Xenopus tropicalis: one gene and its partner. The protein of the gene in region 1 interacts with the protein of each later gene in a pairwise test. Links are inferred from orthologs where the notes say so. Each region holds a gene or a part of one and is shown on either strand. Other genes may lie near its edges.

Region 1 (3,827 bases):
TATAAGGGGGATGTGGTTTAACAAGGGCTGGAGATCCTGCGGATGTTACTTAACAAGAGCCAACAGTTGTCCTTAAATTAGGGCTACGCTGTGGTTAGCAGCTTGTAAAATCTATGGCACCGTCTGCCAAGGATCTGATTGCCAATGCTGTCTGGCCACATGTGGCAGGATCAAAAGGCACTCAGCATGCAAGGGGTTAACAAAAGCTCAAAGACCAGTGGTGTTGGTGGGGGTATTTAAGGGGATAGTGGTAGACCCGGACTGGCAATCTGTGGGTTCAGGCAAATGCCAGAGGGGCTGCTGTACGGTGCCATAGACAGTTGTTATTTATTTTGCTGGTGGGGGGGGCTGTTTGTGCCTCTGGGTACTGGGAATGCCAGGTCCTATTTTGGAATTCAAGTCCAGGTTTGGATAGTGGCACATTCTAGATTTTAAGAGGAATGTGCCACTATGGCTAGGTAAACCCTAATTGTTTCTTAGGTTTTCTATAGGTACCCCTCTTGGGTCGAACCATGACACATGTTGATGGAAAGCAGGCAGGATTCTGATAGGCTGGACTCACAATGCTGCTATACTTCTAACTGTGATGGGGATTGACATGGGAGCATGTTTGCTTCAGGAACACTACTATAGTTTATATAAATACCCCGCTGTGTAGCCCCGGGGGCAGCCATTCCTGCACTGGTACAGCTGGGGTGTTTGCTACAGAAACCCTACTATAGTGTATATAAATACCCTGCTGTGTAGCCCCGGGGGCAGCCATTCCTGCACTGGTACAGCTGGGGTGTTTGCTACAGAAACCCTACTATAGTTTATATAAATACCCCGCTGTGTAGCCCCGGGGGCAGCCATTCCTGCACTGGTACAGCTGGGGTGTTTGCTACAGAAACACTACTATAGTTTATATAAATACCCTGCTGTGTAGCCCCGGGGGCAGCCATTCCTGCACTGGTACAGCTGGGGTGTTTGCTACAGAAACCCTACTATAGTTTATATAATACCCCGCTGTGTAGCCCCGGGGGCAGCCGTTCCTGCACTGGTACCTATTACTGCCTTATTACGAGGGGGAATGTAGCTGGGCACCCAGGTTGCCGGCCCCTAAGACAATAGGGATCATCAGGAAGCATTGATTATAACACAGAAAGACAATGCAGGACAAGGAGAGGGATGGGGGGCGGCCAGGGCTCTAGCTGTTGGCAAGCTTATAAAGCAGAGCCAAAGGTTTCCCATTCCGGAATCACAAGACAGATTTGGTGACATTTCAGTGTAAATAACAAAGTCCTACATCAGCGCCCAATGCCCAGACCAAAAAATAAGAAAACTCCCATTAAGTTGCTGTCAGCTAAAAGATGGATTTTATTTTCCCGAAAGCTAATATTTTATATTTGCCTTTCTCTGGCTCAGTATCAGCAAGGTCCTTAGTGGGGCATTTTTTCAACCTCAGCATCTATGTTGCTAATAATGATCAACCTGTACTCTTCCTTCCCCAAGGCTGAACAAAGGATCATGGGAAAGGAGTGCAGGGAGGGCCCTAGACACTGGCTCCCCAGTCTTTCAACTTAAATTCACTTTCAGTATGATGTAGAGCGATATATTCCGAGACAATTTGCAATTGGTCTTCATTTTTTATTATTTGTAGTTTTTTTAGTTATTTCATTTTCAGTTCAGCAGCTCTCCAGTTTGGAGTTTCAGCAGCTATTTGGTTGCCAGGGTCCAAGTTACCTTAGCAACCAGGGAATGGTTTGGATGAGAGACTGGTATATTAATAGGAGGGGGAACGAATAAAAAAAGAAAGTTGCAAAAAATAACAATAACAATAAAACTGTAGCCTCACAGAGCAATAGTTTTTTTTATTTTTTGCTAATAGTTTCTGATTTCCTCTTCCTGCCCCAGGACCTGGGGTTTTTTGGATAAGGGATCTTTCTGTAATTTGGATCTCCATACCTTAAGTCACCTAAATAATTATTTAAATATCAAATAAACCCATAGGATCGTTTTGCACAATGCCATAATGGATCCCATTCCTGTATTATTCTTACTTTTAAATCCTTATATTTTTTATTCAGTCCCTCTCCTATTCATATTCCACTGCCTAGTTTCTAAGGTAAACAAGACCTTAGCAACCAGATAGCTGCTGAAATTCCACTGGAGAGCTGCTGAACAAAAAGCTAAATAACTGAAAAAAACACAAAAAAGAACAAATTGCAAATTGTCTCAGAATATCAATGTCTATGTCAAACTAAAGGTTAAGCTGAAAGTCTGATATTGGCATTATAAAACTGTTCAAAACCACTAAAACCAGTAAGTTCATGTGAACAGTTAAGCACATAGAGGAAAACTCTGAAGAACGTTACATGAGTTCATTTTTGGGTTTAGATCCTCTTTAAACTATCAGGAACCCACAATCTCATTTTAATTTGGTCCCCATAATCCCGCCTGCCCCAAAAAATTAAAAATGGGGGGGGTCAAAAAGTTGATCAATCCATTTTATTTGGGTCTCCTGTAAAAGGGGGGCAGTTAGAACACTTTAGAGTTGGACTGTGGTGTTTGGGGCCCACTAGGACCCAAGAGCCCATCACCCCCCACCATACCTGCACTTATGGTTGCCACAAACCAATCCCCTGCCCCGCAGATCTAGACTGGCAGGGGGACCAATGAAAGCTAGGGCCCAACTGGATTTTTCCCAGTGTACTACAGTTTCATTGTTCATTATCGTTCTTTTCAGCATTCTACTATTTATCTTCCAGCTTCTCATTCACCTCCACTGCCTGGTTGCTATGGTAAACTGGACCCTAGCAACCAGATAGCTGCTGAAAATCAAAACTGGAGAGCTACTGAGCAAAACATAAAAGAAAACAAAATGAAGACCCTATCTATATCATTCTTAAAGGCAAAATCATCAACAATTCACAGTGTTTTTCATTATTTGTCAATTCAGACAATGTTGTGCCCACAAGCAGATTGGCTGGCAGTGAGCACAGCATGAACAGACCCCCCCCCCCATACACATGCAGGTAGTTCTTACCTTTGGTGATGCTGAGAGTGTTGTCCCCACTGGCCACAAAGTCATACAGTGCAACAAAGAGGTTGGGGTCATTTTCACTTGGCCCGGACAGAAGATTCTCCTTGGAATTCCAACGCGCAGCTTCGCTCAGACCTTGAGGCTCGATGTCGGAAACTGTCGGTCTCTGCAAGGCTTCTGGGGAGCAAGCCAGGAGATGGAGCAGGAGGGGGAGAATAAAGAGAGAGAGAAGAGGGGAAAAAGTGTTAAAATTCCATGTATAAACGGCTAGCCATCTGTGTGTGCACTGGTTTTACGGCCCCGGTGCAACCGGTTTGTTTTTCAGGAGCCGAACTGCTGAATAGGATAACAGATGCGCTGTTTATGGTATGGGCCGGCGTGCGGGGTAAGGGGGCAGTCGGAAGCCAATGCCGACACATGACCCACTTGGAACTGCCCTATCTATAACAGAGTTGTATTAAAAAACCAGTAACACCAAAGTTGTTTAAAGTAAATTCAAATATAATGTACTGTTGCCCTGCACTGGTACAACTGGGGTGTTTGCTACAGAAATACTACTATAGTTTATATAAATACCCAGCTGTGTAGCCCCGGGGCAGCCATTCCTGCACTGGTACAGCTGGGGTGTTTGCTACAGAAACCCTACTATAGTTTATATAAATACCCCGCTGTGTAGCCCCGGGGGCAGCCATTCCTGCACTGGTACAGCTGGGGTGTTTGCTACAGAAACCCTACTATAGTTTATATAAATACCCTGCTGTGTAGCCCCGGGGGCAGCCATTCCTGCACTGGTACAGCTGGGGTG
Region 2 (3,827 bases), about 62 Mb from region 1:
CAAATTAAATTTGTAGTTTTTCCATAGGCATTAGAACAGGGGGTCATTGGGGGCGTGGCCCTCCTAGAATTATCTGCCCCAGTTTTTAATTTTTAGGTGGGCAGGCAAGTGAGAGGCAAGAAAAACTGCACACAGCAGCAAAACTTTTCTTCTGCCTACCCCACTAAAAATGATCTTCCACAGCACCTGGGTTTATATTGTTATACTCAGTGGAAACAAAGATTTTGAAGCTAGACTATAGATCATAATTGCAGTGACATAAAAGTTACATAAAGGTTATGTAAGATGCATGCACATCTGTTCCATGCATCAATTAGATTGGGTACCAATGTGTCCCAGGTTATATTACAATGTGTTGCAGTTTTATACACCTTTGTTATACATGAGCAAAAAAAGACCTTTATTGAAAATGAATCCTGCTTATTCTTTTCATTTAAAAAAATATTTTCCATTATAAAGAATCATTGGGAAATGGTTTGGTTTTTGCCTAAAACTACTCCCTCTCCCCTTTTATATTGAGTAATTTGATTAAAGTGAGATATTGAGCACTATAAAAAAACCCATAGTGGAAGCCTTAGTTAAGGGGTTGATTGGGTACACTTTGCCAAGGAGAGGCCTGTTAACTAAGTTGCCATTTCTCAGATCAGTTAGATCATGAGTCTTTTGGCATTCAGCAGCACCCTTCTGCTGACAGTCTGAAGGATTTCTACCATTGACTGACATAAAAGACAGACTGGATGCAGTCATTGCGACCCTAATTGTCTATGCCCTTCTTGTATTCGGTTAACCCTAGGGTTGCTGATTCTCTCTTGAGCCAAGGTATTAGCAGTCTAAAAGTGCAAATATCTGCTAAAAATAGAAAGTTGATGTAAATTTCTAAAGTGCTTAGTAAAGAAGGGGGAGCCAGAGTGATGAGCAGTCGTTTGGGGGCGAAGCATGGCGCACAGGGAGAGTGTGCAGGACTTGAGGGCCTGAACTAAGGGTAGGCAGGCACCCCCACACTGTTGAGCCTTAGGCACGTGCCTCTTCTGCCTAACCCTAGTTCTGGCCCTGCTTTAATGTAAGAACTAAAACAACCCTATTATGCTGATCAAAAAGTCTCAAATCCAAATGTTATTGTCTGCCTCTTCTCTCTTCCCACCCAGTGCCTCTTATCTTTTATAGACATCCTCTCATGGTATTTTGCTCTGGAACTTTTGTTCCAAATTCAACTCTCAGCAAGCAGAATGAGAAAAGAATCAAGATAATAACTGGACCAAACTCTTGTGGGAAGAGTGTGTATCTAAAACAGGTAAAATGGCAAGAGACTGTGAAATACTGAACAAAGGAAGTGATGAAAAAAATAAGGATATAGAAAGAGGAAAAACATCAAAAAGTCATCTTTGTATAGTACAAACCCCAATCTTTGCTTTAGTTCTTTGATGTTAATAAAGTACAGGAAAATAGCCGGCTTGCCACCATTAAGGATTTTGTTTTCTTATCTTTTTGCTTTATTTAAAATAAATAATATTTTTATTCAGTCTTAGTGCAATCTATGTCTTGGGTACACTAATGCATGATTATTAAATTGCATATATTTATTCACAATTTGTGAATGTTATTCAATTCAGTAGGGGGCAGCAGCAAACCAACCAGAGCCTTCAGAAGCAAATCTCACTTGCAGTGGTAAAATTACACAGGGTATGCAGTGAAACCCTGAAGAACAGCTACTGTTTCAGAGATTGTGAGACTGAGACAGGCATTGATTTTGTAAAATTTTCAGCAGCACCATGCACTTGGTATTTCTGCATTCATAGCCTTACTGTTGGGCATGAGGCACCTGTTGAGAGCAAAATATTAGCGTATAAGAAATTACACTGTCTAAAAAGCTAACAAACAGAAAGTAGTATGAGTTGATGCTTTTGCAATTCCCCTACTAATAATTACGGCTCTGAATGATCACATGCAGCTGCAACTCAAATGGAAAGGTTGCTCAGAATGTATGTCAGGATTACACAGTAATGTAATTTTCACTTTATATACTAATAATATTGGATCAGTTCTACATAGTTTACAATCTGAATGACTACAGTCATAAGAGGGTCATTCATTAAGTTAATGACAGATTGCTAAGTGCATAAAAATGGCCTCTATACACCATAGTATTTGCACTTTGCACCCTGGCCTGCACCTTGGTCATACCCTGGTAAGGACAGGGCTGAGATCTTGCCTTAATGGCATGGCAGGCAGAGCATATCGAAGAGAAACTAGCGGATCAATAAAATATTAAAATTACAATATATAAACCCAGTACAAACATCTTGCCCAAATAAAATTTTCCTGTTGTCCCAAAGGCTCTGACATCAGCTTCTTTTGAACTGAAAATATGAATGTGTTGATAATAACATTAAATTGTTTGGTTGAAGTTACATCAGTGGGATGTGTGTCAGACCTCTTTGCTCTGTGCTACAAATTAGCATACACTGTCTGTCTAGGGGGTACCATGTTTTCATATTATTATTATTATTATTATTTATTAATCATGTCATCTTTATTTATAGAACTTAATGGGGAAATATATCTTTAGAGGAATAAAGAATATAGAAAACTATCTTTGTCATCATATATTTGTGATCAGCATCATAAAAGAGTGAATGACTTAAACTTTGCTTTCACATTTTTGCAAGCTGCAGGGAAAAACAGAATTCTATAATCTATACAGAGACTCATAAACCTAGCAATTCTTTTACTTTTGATTAAATAGGAATGACTGTTTGCTTTCTAGATACTCCTGCAAGTCCAGCTTTCAAGTCAGATAGGATGAGATTTGTGGAAAACATTTAATTACTAACTTGGATATACGCTGGAAATTTTCATGTTGTTGCCTTGTAATATTATTGGGCGGGCATTCTCTCTAGAAACAGGGTGGCACTTTTAACAAATAATTCACAATTTTGTGCTTATAATATTTGACTGGAGGCTGTTTTATTATGTTTTGCCATGGAGATGAATTGATACCAACCATAAGTAAATACATAAAAAAAATATTTTTTATCATTTGGTGTTAGAAAATGAATCTGCTTTGCTATATTGCCTTATTCATCTCCCTTCATATTTTCTGAATTTGTTCCTTTTCCCATAGCCATCAGCCCTGTTTTTACTACGGTTATTTAGCTGTCATATATTTCCTACTTAAAATTATGTTTCATAGGTTGGACTCATAGTCTTCATGTCTATGATTGGAAGTTTTGTTCCAGCTGCAGAGGCTGAAATTGGACCAGTTGATGGCATCTTTACCCGTATTCAGAGTCTTGAGTCTGTGTCCCTTGGGCTATCTACTTTCATGATAGATTTAAATCAGGTATATAAAATCTGTTTAAACCCTTGGCTTACAACCCTCTATGATCTTGCTGCACTATGTGTTTCCAGAAAACATGATGCAAGCTACAAATCAAAAAGAAAAGGGGATCTATTGTAAAAATGAAAATTTAATATAAGATTTTCTCAGTTAAATAAGAAACTTTTTAAATATATAAATTAATAAAAAATGATGTATGGGCGTGGAAATAATCACGTTTCTCTTCACTGCCCCCTTTCGGCAATCAGTGTCTCTTCATTCTCTCCTATTGCAGGAGATTGTTTCGGAGGTTGGTCCTTTTGCCTAGAAGATGTATAAGAGCTCACTCTCAAAATAACTGGCTGGAAAGGCAGTCCTATCTCTCTTCATGCAGGATGCGTGACGGATTCAGTTGTTTTGCTACATTTTGTTTGTGCTGGAGTCATTTATTTGAGTTAGCACTAATACACCCCTCTAAAAAATAAAGCTTAAATTAAATTTTAATTTTCAT

Evidence for each region.
Region 2: the proteins of abl1 (region 1) and msh5 interact in binary tests that used the Homo sapiens proteins (3 or more experiments, as listed by UniProt). The link is inferred for Xenopus tropicalis from reciprocal best matches to the Homo sapiens genes ABL1 and MSH5.

Annotation. Positions count from the first base shown.
Region 1 is NC_030684.2:12,813,326-12,817,152, forward strand, and holds part of abl1 (tyrosine-protein kinase ABL1), read right to left. Parts: intron 3,200-3,827; coding exon 3,026-3,199; intron 1-3,025. UniProt on the Homo sapiens protein: Non-receptor tyrosine-protein kinase that plays a role in many key processes linked to cell growth and survival such as cytoskeleton remodeling in response to extracellular stimuli, cell motility and adhesion, receptor endocytosis, autophagy, DNA damage response and apoptosis.
Region 2 is NC_030684.2:74,931,468-74,935,294, reverse strand, and holds part of msh5 (mutS protein homolog 5), read left to right. Parts: intron 1-1,164; coding exon 1,165-1,291; intron 1,292-3,190; coding exon 3,191-3,340; intron 3,341-3,827.